Rattus norvegicus: one gene and its partners. The protein of the gene in region 2 purifies or fractionates together with the protein of the main gene of each other region. This does not show direct contact. Links are inferred from orthologs where the notes say so. Each region holds a gene or a part of one and is shown on either strand. Other genes may lie near its edges.

Region 1 (3,751 bases), on a different chromosome or scaffold from region 2:
TCACTGTCTTTACCTGTTTCCGGGCTCTAGATCCCGAATCAGCTGAGGCTTCCAGTATAGCTTGAGGTCCAGCCTCCTCCCTCTGGTCATGGAGGACCCCTGCCCTCTGGTCAGCTAGGACCTCCACCCTCTGATTTTCTGTAGCACCAGTGCTTTGGTTAACTGGGCCCTCTGCCCTCTGACTATCTATGGCTTCTGCCCTCTGGTCAGGTAGAACTCCTGCCCTGAGATTAGCTGCAGCTTCTATCCTTGCACTAGCAGCAGTCTCTGCTCTTGGAGTAGCTACAGCCTCTGCCCTTGGACTAACTGTAGCCTCTGCCCTTGGACTAGCTGCAGCCTCTACCCTTAGACTAGCTGCAGCCTCTACCCTTGGACTAGCTGCAGTCTCTGCCCTTGGACTAGCTGTAGCCTCTGTCTTCTGGTTAACTTCAGCCTCTGCCCTTGGACTAGCTGCAGCCTCTGCCTTTGGACTAGCTGCAGCCTCTGCCCCTGGACTAGCTGTAGCCTCTGCTCTTGGATTAACTGCAGCCTCTGCTCTTGGATTAGCTGCAGCCTCTGTTCTTGGATTAACTGCAGCCTCTGCTCTTGGATTAGCTGTAGCCTCTGCTCTTGGATTAGCTGCAGCCTCTGCTCTTGGATTAGCTGTAGCCTCTGCTCTTGGATTAGCTGCAGCCTCTGCTCTTGGATTAGCTGCAGCCTCTGCTCTTGGACTAGCTGCAGCCTCTGCTCTTGGATTAGCTGCAGCCTCTGCTCTTGGATTAGCTGTAGCCTCTGCTCTTGGATTAGCTGCAGCCTCTGCTCTTGGACTAGCTGCAGCCTCTGGCCTCTGGCTAGCTGCAGCCTCTACCCCATGTTCAGCTGCAGCCCCTGCTCCCTGGTTTTCTGCAGCCTCTGGGGGCTCTTCAGCTGTCCCGTGAGCCGAGGGTGGCACCTGCTCCTTCCTGCATCGTCTCAAGGAGACCCACTTGATCTTGGGCTTCCAGCGTCTAGTAATCAGTGTCTGGTCGCTCAGGTCTCCTGTGTTTCTGGAGCTATCATCCAGGTCTGGGCTGGTGTGGCTGTGTCTCATTTCTCCAGCCCTCTCAGCTATGGAGGACTGCTGGGCCTGGCCCACCTCGGAGCCTGATCTGGGCGCCCAGCCTTTCACCCTCTGTTTCAGCTTCCCCCAGGACACCTGGCTGACATACTCCCGCCATCTGTCCCCCTTGGATGGCTGGGGCCCCAGGTTATTCTCAAACATGGGCACTGGAAGATTGACTCGGCGCCGTGGAGGAGGCGCGCTGGGCTTCTTCTCCCCGCGGCGGAGGAAGGCCTCTACCAGCTCCTGATCATCCTCGCTCTCATCGCTGCCCAGGAATTTGCTGCCCAAGTAACTGACCGGCATTTTGCGCACCTTCCTGGTCTTCCCGGAGCCCCTGTTGCCTTTGACTTTGGATGTATCGAAGTCACTCAACTCGCTATCGCTGCCATTGCTGCTGTCGTAAGTGCCTACAACCAGCCGAAGTGGAGGAGTGACCATCTGCGGGACTCTCCTCACTCTGGGCACCTTGGCTTTTTTGGGGGGCTGGGGTGGATGTGGAGTACTCTTTTCGATGATACGAGCCACATCTTCCAGGGTGCGGCCCTCCTCCTGCAGAAACTGGATCAGCCGCTCCCGAAACACAGCCTCCTTAGTGGCAGGCTTGGAGATGACTCTCCACACGCCCCCAGCCAGCCGGACCTCCCGGGGGATGAGCAGATAGTCAACATCCTCCCCAATCTGCAGCATCCCCACCGTGGAGTCCTCCTCTTTGCGGAACACCTTCCCGATCTTCTTGAAGGTGCCCACAGGCCTTAAGGCCTCCACTAACACATCCAGATCGACATCTTTGCAGACGTCGGGGACACTCCAGAGGATCAGGCAATCGGGAGAGGGGAGGAAGCCCCAGGGGAACCATCCCCCCACGTGGCTTTTCTCGAGAGTCTTTAAGATCTCCAGTGTGGACTCCCGAGTTGGGGGCAAGAAGCCCAGGCTCTCTCGGCTTCTAGTCTTGGGGAGGGAGCAGTGGAGGGTCCCAGCAACTCTGCTCACGCAGTGTCGCCTCCCTGTAATTTTCTCTTCAGGCGACAAGTCCAAGTTGGGTTCCCCCAACCCCCTCGGAGTTGTATCAAGGAGTTTTCCAGGATGCTTACATGAACCGAGGCACGCTTAGTCCCGAGGCTCAAAGCTCAGTCCAAACTGGAATCGCCAGTGTCCCTGCTCCAAGTTGGAAACGCACGAGCTCCGATCGCTGCTCCCTTGCCCCAGACACCGGGATGAAGTTGAAAGTTCGTGGGAGGACTCTGCAGACAAAGATGGCTCAGCGTGGCCGTTCAATATGGCGAGGCGCTTAAAGGCCTCCGCCCAGCCCCGAGGAGGGTCTCCCGCCCCCAGGCAGGCCGCCACCCTCTCCAAACTGACCTTGCGCTCAGTCTGCGGTGGAGCTGAGAGCGGCAGGAAGTTTCTGGGCGCCCTCCCCTCCTGGGTGAGGCCCACCTTCTCCTTCTCATCTTACACTCTAAGCCTGGGAAGACTGGCAGCGGGGCTGTCCACTCCCTTCAGGGCAGCCTCCCTCTCCTCCCCCACAGAGGTGTGGCTGTCCCTCAGAGCCTCACTGGGGCCAGGGCTTCTCTTAGCTACAGCCAAGACCCACGTCATCATCCTTCCCGAAAGGCAACGGGGGTCCCAACCTGCCATCCTTGACCCAAAAGCCCAAGAGGTGTGGGTGCCGATGTCCCAAATCCTTTGAAGGCCATTGCAATTATGAATGTCCGTTTAAAATTAAGGCGATGGAACCAGAGAGGTGGCTCAATGGTTAGGAGCATGGGTTGCCCTTGCAACCCCTTAACCTGGATTTGACTCCCAGAACCCATATGATGGCTCACAACCCTCTGTATTTCCAGTTCCAGGGGATCCAACACCCTCTTCCGATCTCTGTGTGCACTTACATACGTGATTTGCGTGTGTGCACAGAGAATACATTCATGCACATAAAAAGGGGGCCCACAAGATAACTCGGTAAAATGGGGTTGGGGATTTAGCTCAGTGGTAGAGCGCTTACCTAGGAAGCGCAAGGCCCTGGGTTCGGTCCCCAGCTCCGAAAAAAAAAAAAAAAAAAAAGAACAAAAAAGATAACTCGGTAAAAACATGCAAGCCTCATGGCCTGAATTTAATCCCAGCATCCACATAAAACCAACTCTATAAAGTTATTATTCAGTCTCCACATGTGCACCCCTACACACAGATTATACACATATAAATTCACACACGATGAAAACGTTTTTAAAATAAAATCTTTTCTTGGGGCTGAAGAGTCGGCTCCTTGGTTAAGAGCACTGGCTGCTCTCTCCGAGGACCTGGGTTCAGTTTCCAGCACCCACATAATAGCTCACAACCATCTGTAACTCCACTTATAGGGAATCCAACACTCTCACACTGATATACATCAAAACACCAATGCACATAAATATTTTTAAAGCAAATCTTTCTCTTTTTTAAAAAGATTTAGTATTTTATGTATTTTTGTACACTGCTGCTGTCTTCAGGCACACCAGAAGAGAGCATCATATCTCATTACAGATGGTTGTGAGCCACCATGTGTTTGCTGGGAATTGAACTCAGGTCCTCTGGAAGAACAGCCAGTATTCTTAACCTCTGAGCCATCTCTCCAGTCCCAAATAAATATATTTTTAAATAAAAAATAAAACATTTTCTAAAAATAAAAAATCTTTC
Region 2 (3,685 bases):
GAAGGTTCAGTGGGAGGTAGAGGTTCTTTCCAGAACGTTCCTTCACAGATCCTCCCCCCACCCCAAGACCGCCTTTGGATTTGTAGTCCTGGAAATCTCTGCTAATTTCCCATGGCAGGTTTTTCTGTTTATCAGCTAGAACGGCATTTCCTTAGAGAGACCTTCATGACTACCCTTCATCACTAATTGGCTCCTCCCTCTGTCAATCACGCTGTTATCTGACCTTATTTCTTATATTTCTATATAATCTTACCCGCGGATTCAGACAAGCCCATTAAAAAATGTTTACCTCTGTTTTATGTGAATGTAAATTTTTAAGAAGGCAGAGATATTTATTTGTGTGTGGTATGTGTAGATGTGAATGCTTACTTCAGGATGAGCTGGCTCCGCAGAAAAGAGTGCTTGATGTCGGGCCTGACGACTTGAGTTCAATCTCTGAGACCCCACTTGGTGGAAGGCAAGAATCGACTCCTTGAGTCGTTCTCTGACACACACACACACACACACACACACACACACGCACACACACTCTAAATAAAATGCAATAAAAACTACTACATTAAAAATGCTACCTTTGCAATATGTATACAGCAGCCATTTAAAACCAGGTTTGCGGGACGAAGGAAAAATGCTTCCTTGGTACAAAGGTGGCAAAAGCCAGGGATAGCAGAGCGGAGGGGCGTGGCTGCCCGGAACCTAAGAGCCGCGGTTCCGGAAGTCTCCAGCCGACTACGGACACTTCCGGCGGATGGACAGTCCGTCCACAGCTGGCTGCCCCTGGGTGACGCGTAGGCCTGGGAGCGGCAAGCATGGAGGACCATAACCTGGAGGAGTTCCGCCAGCGCTGGCAGGAGGAATTGGCGCAGTCGCAGGCGCTGAGGCGACGGCGGCGGCTCGAGGCTGGGGAGCGGCGGCCCCGGAGACCGGAGGCGGGAGCGCGCGGCGAGCCGGCCTCGGGGTACCTGGGGCTGGCGCAGGGTCTGCTGGAGGGCGCGGGCCGACCCCCGGCGCCCAGGCCCGGCCGGACCGACAGGAAGGATGTGTCCAGCCGTTCGCGCTCACCCCCGGACCGCGACGCCGCGGAGCCCGAGCCGCTGGTGGACCAGCTCATCCGCGACTTGGTGAGTGACAGAGGCGAGATGGCTTTCCCTGTGGCCCACCCTGTGGGGTTAGGGGCGCAGGTACAGCAGGGATCCTGCACACCCAGGTAATCCCTGGAAGCAGTGGTTCTCCTCTGGCAGCTTTGCCTGTAAACATTTTAGGGTGTTGACAGTAGGTGTGCGCGCGGTCTTGGGCTTGCAAGAGGGTAGAAGAATGCTCGCAAACACCAATGTTCAGGACACCCTCTCCCCACCCCGCAAAGAGAATCCACCCATAAAGGACTGCGGATGAGTTTGAGAAATCCTGCCCTAGAAACGTCCTTAACCTGTCAGAAAGGTTGACTCTGGAGAGGGAGGTTAAGAAAAAGCAGAGGACGGAAATTATGCTCACTTTTCTCTGTATTCTTTGATTTTCCTAACGTAACGTGTTACTTAAAGAAAAATAGCAACCATAAATCAGAAGGAACGAAAGGACTATGGCGAAGAAGAATCCTTTGGTCAGCATTTTTAGGAGGCCTTTGGAGGGCATGGGTCTCTTGGAGAATCAGGAAACCCTTTTCCCCAGCCTCATTTACCAAGTCGATAGAATCAAATCAAGAACCCCTAACATGGATCCATGGCTTTCAGGTTAAGAGTTAGGTCAGAACAGAAGGTTTTAATGGTTTCACTCAAACCAGGTTCAAAGAACATTTCTTTTCTTTTTTTTTAAGTTTATTATATTTTATTGTGCCAAAGAACAATTCTACAGTTCAGTAGGGAATACTTTTCCGTGAGTGAAAGTTGTTTAGAGGAATAACAGGATCAAGCTGGAGAGATGGCTCCGTAGTTAAGAGCGCAATATGCTCTTCTGGAGTTGGGTTTCTGGTACCCATGTCAGGTGGCTCACGACTTCCTGAAACTGCGGTTTCAGGATATTTAATGTCTCTGGCTTCCATGGACACTTGCACACATGAGTACAGCCCCCCCCCCCCAACACACACACACAGACACATACTTTTTTAAAAATGGTTAACTTTATGCAATGGAAAGTTTTGTTTAAATGCTTCTACATTGAGTTTTAAGGCCATCTTTCTTTTAAACGAGTGTCTGGTGCTCTGCCTTGATTCTATAGTAGCCATAATATGAGGTAGATAACTATTTCCTTTTACATACGGACCCCAAGGCAATGGTATTTTTATTTAAATTTTATTTTATTTCTTTTTTTCAATTTGCTTAGAATTACCCAACTGAGAAATTCTGGGGATTGAATTTGGATTCCTGTGTTTTAACTTCACCAAGTGAAGCTTGAGTTCCCCGACCCCCATCCCCCTGGCCTTAGTGTAGGTTCCTGAGTCCTCTCAGACCTGCTAAGCAGCAGCCTGGGGAAGTAGCTCATCTGATGACTGAGAACCCGTGGGGGTTTAGATACCGTCAGCTGTGTAGCCTCTGTGCTGGCTAGTTTTTACGTCAACTTGACACAAGCCAGAGTGACTGGAAAGGAGGAGCCTCAACTGAGACGATGCCTCCGTAGGATTGAGCTGTAGGCAAACCTGTAGGGCATTTTCTTAATTAGGGATTGGTGGGAGAGGGGATGGTTCATTGTGGGTAGAAACACCCATGGCCTGGTGGTCCTGGTTTCCATAAGGAAGCAGGCTGAGGAAGCCAGTAAGCAGCACCTCTCCGTGGCCTCTGCAGTAGCTCCTGCCCCAGGTTCCTATCCTGACTTTCTGCAGTGATGGACTATGATGTGGAGATATAAGCCAAGTAAATCCCTTTCGCCCCTCATCTTGTTTAGGGTCATGGTTTTTATTACAGCAATTAAAAACCTTGACTAAGATAGACCCGAAATCCTAATACACAAGACTTTCCAGCCTCACACTCAGGCAGCACTCCAGAATCAGAAATAAAGTGTCAGGGACCTAGGAGGAAGGTCCAGGGCATACCAGACTCTTAAGTTTCATATGGAGTTGGCAAAAACCTTCCCTGTGTCTTGTCCCAGGGGTGAATGATAGTAGGCTCCTCTGCCCAGCCAGAAGCACCACACTAGGAACTGTTTTGGTTTCTTCTGAGCAGCAGCCAGCTCTCCAATTAGTGACATCTGTACAAAAGAAGACGCCATGGGTCATTGTGTGCTCAGGTGACTGGAATTACACAGGTTGAGCCACCTGACATGGGTGTTAGGAATAGAATTTGGGACCCTTGGATGACAGATTCTGCTCTTAACTATCAAGGTGTCACTGTGTACCTTAGACTGGCATTAGATTCTTTCTTTGCCCCCCAACCCCCGTGTGTGTGTGTGTGTGTGTGTGTGTGTGTGTGTGTGTGTATGAGAGAGGAGGGTGGTTGAGATTTCCTGTAGATGTCTGTGCGCTCAGCCTGCATGTGGAGAGCAGAGGACAGCCCCGGATGTTGACCCTCAGGCACCTCCACATTTTATTTGGCTTGGAGCGTTGTCACAAAGCCCAAGCTAGCTGTCCCTTGCACTTCCAGACATTTGTTTCTTCTCTCTTCCCACCTTCTCTGGTATCTCAGGCATATGTCTTCATGCTTGCCTTTTTCCATGTGTCCTGGAGGTCTAAGCAGGGTCCTTACACTTGTAAGGCGAG
Region 3 (2,815 bases), on a different chromosome or scaffold from region 2:
GGCCTGGGCCCTCCTTCCGGGGACATCCTGGGGTGAATATGGCAGCCTCCTTGGAAAAGCTTCACTAGGAGGGACCTGGAATGAGAGAGATTCTCAGTTCTTACCCACAAGTGGAGAGGGCTGACCATCCTCCCTGGTGGTCAGGGAGTTTCTGATAATTCAGATGACTTTGACCTCAATCAGCAGGCAGCCTCTTACAGGTTAGAACCATAACCTGCTAATAATTAGCTGCCACTTCCTGTCACTAATGGACCTTGGGACTATGGAGGTATGTTGGTTCTACTTCCATATTCCAGCTTCCTAGTGGTAATACAGAACAGCTTCTACACCTGTCTCAGTATTCATTTAGTCCCTGCAGAATCGACAGCAGCAATCTGGAGTCGTCTTCTTTCAAACGCCATACTCAATGGTACTCAAAGAAGTCTCAGAAAATAAGGGGTCAGTGCCCAAAAAGATTTAAGGGCTTTAAAAATTAAGATCTTAATTTCCAATCCAAAGAATGCAGCCCTTTTGGATTCCAGGAAGACACTAGGAATATACACTTGCACAATCATTAAATCTTTTATTTACATAATAGAAATTAGTAAAACTTAAAACAAAACCAAATGCAACTTGTACAGAAATCCTTTAATTTTCTTTATTTTCACACATTAAAAAAATGAAACACACTATACAAATGGTTTTCATAGCAGATTACACGTGGGTCCATTCAGACTCGCTCTCGTGTGCTGCCTCAGACGACAGCTGTTAACCAGGGAGCCAATGTATTGATTTAAGTGCGGTAGCATGCAGCCTCAGCATGGAAGGTTCGGTTCCCCTCTGTCTGTGAGTTAGGGTAAATGGCATTGGCGTCTGTTTACAGACTGAAATGTGTCAGTCCTGAGCAGTCCTGCTGTAGCTTGAGACCAGCTGGTGGAAACTGTGGTCTCAGCTTTAAAAAGGAAGGTCCAAATGGTGGCAGGCTGGCTGCTATGAACTCGAGTTGTTTCCACTTTATTCACTGGAACTATCTGCTCGTGGGTCACGGAGACCCTGCTAGATGGGTTAAGCCAAGTAACTGTAGGTGTCCTTCTCACCATCGACTCGCTCCAAATATTCTTTTTCGATGAGAATATCAATGCATTTCTGGGCATTATTTTGGGAAGAAGAGGGAGTTAAGGGGGAAGAGAAAGGCAAATAACCATCAGGAAAGAGGTCTATCTCTCACCAGTTACCCTCCACTGAGCTCAGCAGGGAGCAGATTCAACCTGTCTACTGTCCTGAATGCAGTCCTTCAGTAACACCTATGGGTGACTGCATACACACCCCACCCCAAACTGCCCTATGCATTAAGAAGGCAAGGGCTCTAGCACATCTAGGTCACAATTTCCCTTTTTAACAAAGTGGCTGCCCCTGGGCAGGACTCTGAAGTCACAGGTTAGAAGCACAGGAGGGGTGAGTCAGAACCTGAAGAACAGGCTAGCAATGGTACTAATAGCTCCTGACCACTGAGGACTCACCATGCACTGCCATCCCTGGGTCTCCACTGGCTGAGGCTTACCCAAGTAGTTTCAGAAAAGGAAAGGCCTGCTGAGTTATTGCCAGCAGAAACTAAGCAAATGTGATCATTAGTGCCCTAGATACAGAGGAGTGTGTCCCTGCATGGCAGCAGAAATGGACAAGTATTTCCTAAAGGCAGCCCAGAATGAATCCCTTCATACTGCCAGACAAGTTCTCAGCAGCAGAGAACATTCTCTCTACACTGCTTCCCACCAGGCAAAGCCAGCCAAGGCTGCAGGGCAGCTCACTGACAGAGAAACACAGGGAGGATAGGGGAGGAACATGTGACCTTTTAGATGCCTGTGACTTAACTCCTTATCAGGATATCAATTATAAAAGCATATTTACGACATGTACATCTCTTATATTTACTTCAAGCATCAAGTTGGCTGACTTTGTTGAAGTTTCTTCTAGTAGTAACCCAATTCCCATTTTCAGGAAACAGCCATTAAGCATTTTGCTACAAGTTTCCTAACAATCAGAAGATATAGCTGCTGCTCTGTAATTCCTGTACCTTGATCACTGGGACCCGAGGTTTGAACCTGGAGGACAGCTGAGTGAGGACTTCACCAAGTAACTGCTGGTGTTTCAGAACCTTCCTCATTTTCATGATTCTTACGATGGCCGCCTATGTAATCAACAAAGAAAAACAGGCTTAGAGCATTAACAGCTGAGCATGAACATTCAAGGCAGCCTGTACGCCTCAGTTCTACTCCATGCTGGGATAACAAGTGTCCTACAGGTCAGAGAGAGTGCAAACAATCAGCTCTATATTTCAGCCCTAACAGAACAAACAAAATGTTATAGCCAAGGGGCTAGAGATTGATGGCTCAGTGGTTTAAGCATACTGAGCTCGGTTCCCACACCTACAGCAGTAGCTCCCAACACTCTTGACTCTAGTTCCAGCAGATGCACCATCCTTTCCTGGCCTCTGGGGACACCAGTGCCCCAGGTGTGCCTACATTTAGACAAAACATGTATAAAAAAATAAATGTAAATCTTAAATATTTTGGCCAACTCTAGCACTAAAGAATAAAGAAAAGATGGATCTCTAAAGCTATAAAAGGTACCTACCCTTGCCCCCACTGTCCTGCTTCTTTAATCTGCCATATATTATCTGTTGCCCAATATTTAGGAAGAAGAGTAGACTGCTTTTGTTTGGTACATGACATACTTCATCCCTCAGACACCAGTGTGCCGCTTCAGGCATCTTTGGCCGTTACTAAGCTGTGTCACTCTGGCAGCTCTTTCCAGTTAGAGCACAGATGAGGCCAAC

What was found.
Region 1: the proteins of Fbxw8 (region 2) and Ccdc8 purify together in Homo sapiens (affinity purification with mass spectrometry; 3 studies listed by BioGRID and IntAct, with this or other methods). This does not show direct contact. The link is inferred for Rattus norvegicus from reciprocal best matches to the Homo sapiens genes FBXW8 and CCDC8.
Region 3: the proteins of Fbxw8 (region 2) and Cul1 purify together in Homo sapiens (affinity purification with western blotting; 9 studies listed by BioGRID and IntAct, with this or other methods). This does not show direct contact. The link is inferred for Rattus norvegicus from reciprocal best matches to the Homo sapiens genes FBXW8 and CUL1.

Annotation. Positions count from the first base shown.
Region 1 is NC_086019.1:86,806,129-86,809,879, reverse strand, and holds the start of Ccdc8 (coiled-coil domain-containing protein 8), read right to left. Parts: upstream 2,274-3,751; 5' UTR 1,769-2,273; coding exon 1-1,768. UniProt on the Homo sapiens protein: Core component of the 3M complex, a complex required to regulate microtubule dynamics and genome integrity. It is unclear how the 3M complex regulates microtubules, it could act by controlling the level of a microtubule stabilizer.
Region 2 is NC_086030.1:44,086,621-44,090,305, forward strand, and holds the start of Fbxw8 (F-box/WD repeat-containing protein 8), read left to right. Parts: upstream 1-754; 5' UTR 755-809; coding exon 810-1,121; intron 1,122-3,685. UniProt on the Homo sapiens protein: Substrate-recognition component of the Cul7-RING(FBXW8) ubiquitin ligase complex, which mediates the ubiquitination and subsequent proteasomal degradation of target proteins.
Region 3 is NC_086022.1:77,617,797-77,620,611, reverse strand, and holds the end of Cul1 (cullin-1), read right to left. Parts: intron 2,168-2,815; coding exon 2,054-2,167; intron 1,126-2,053; coding exon 1,045-1,125; 3' UTR 624-1,044; downstream 1-623. UniProt on the Homo sapiens protein: Core component of multiple cullin-RING-based SCF (SKP1-CUL1-F-box protein) E3 ubiquitin-protein ligase complexes, which mediate the ubiquitination of proteins involved in cell cycle progression, signal transduction and transcription.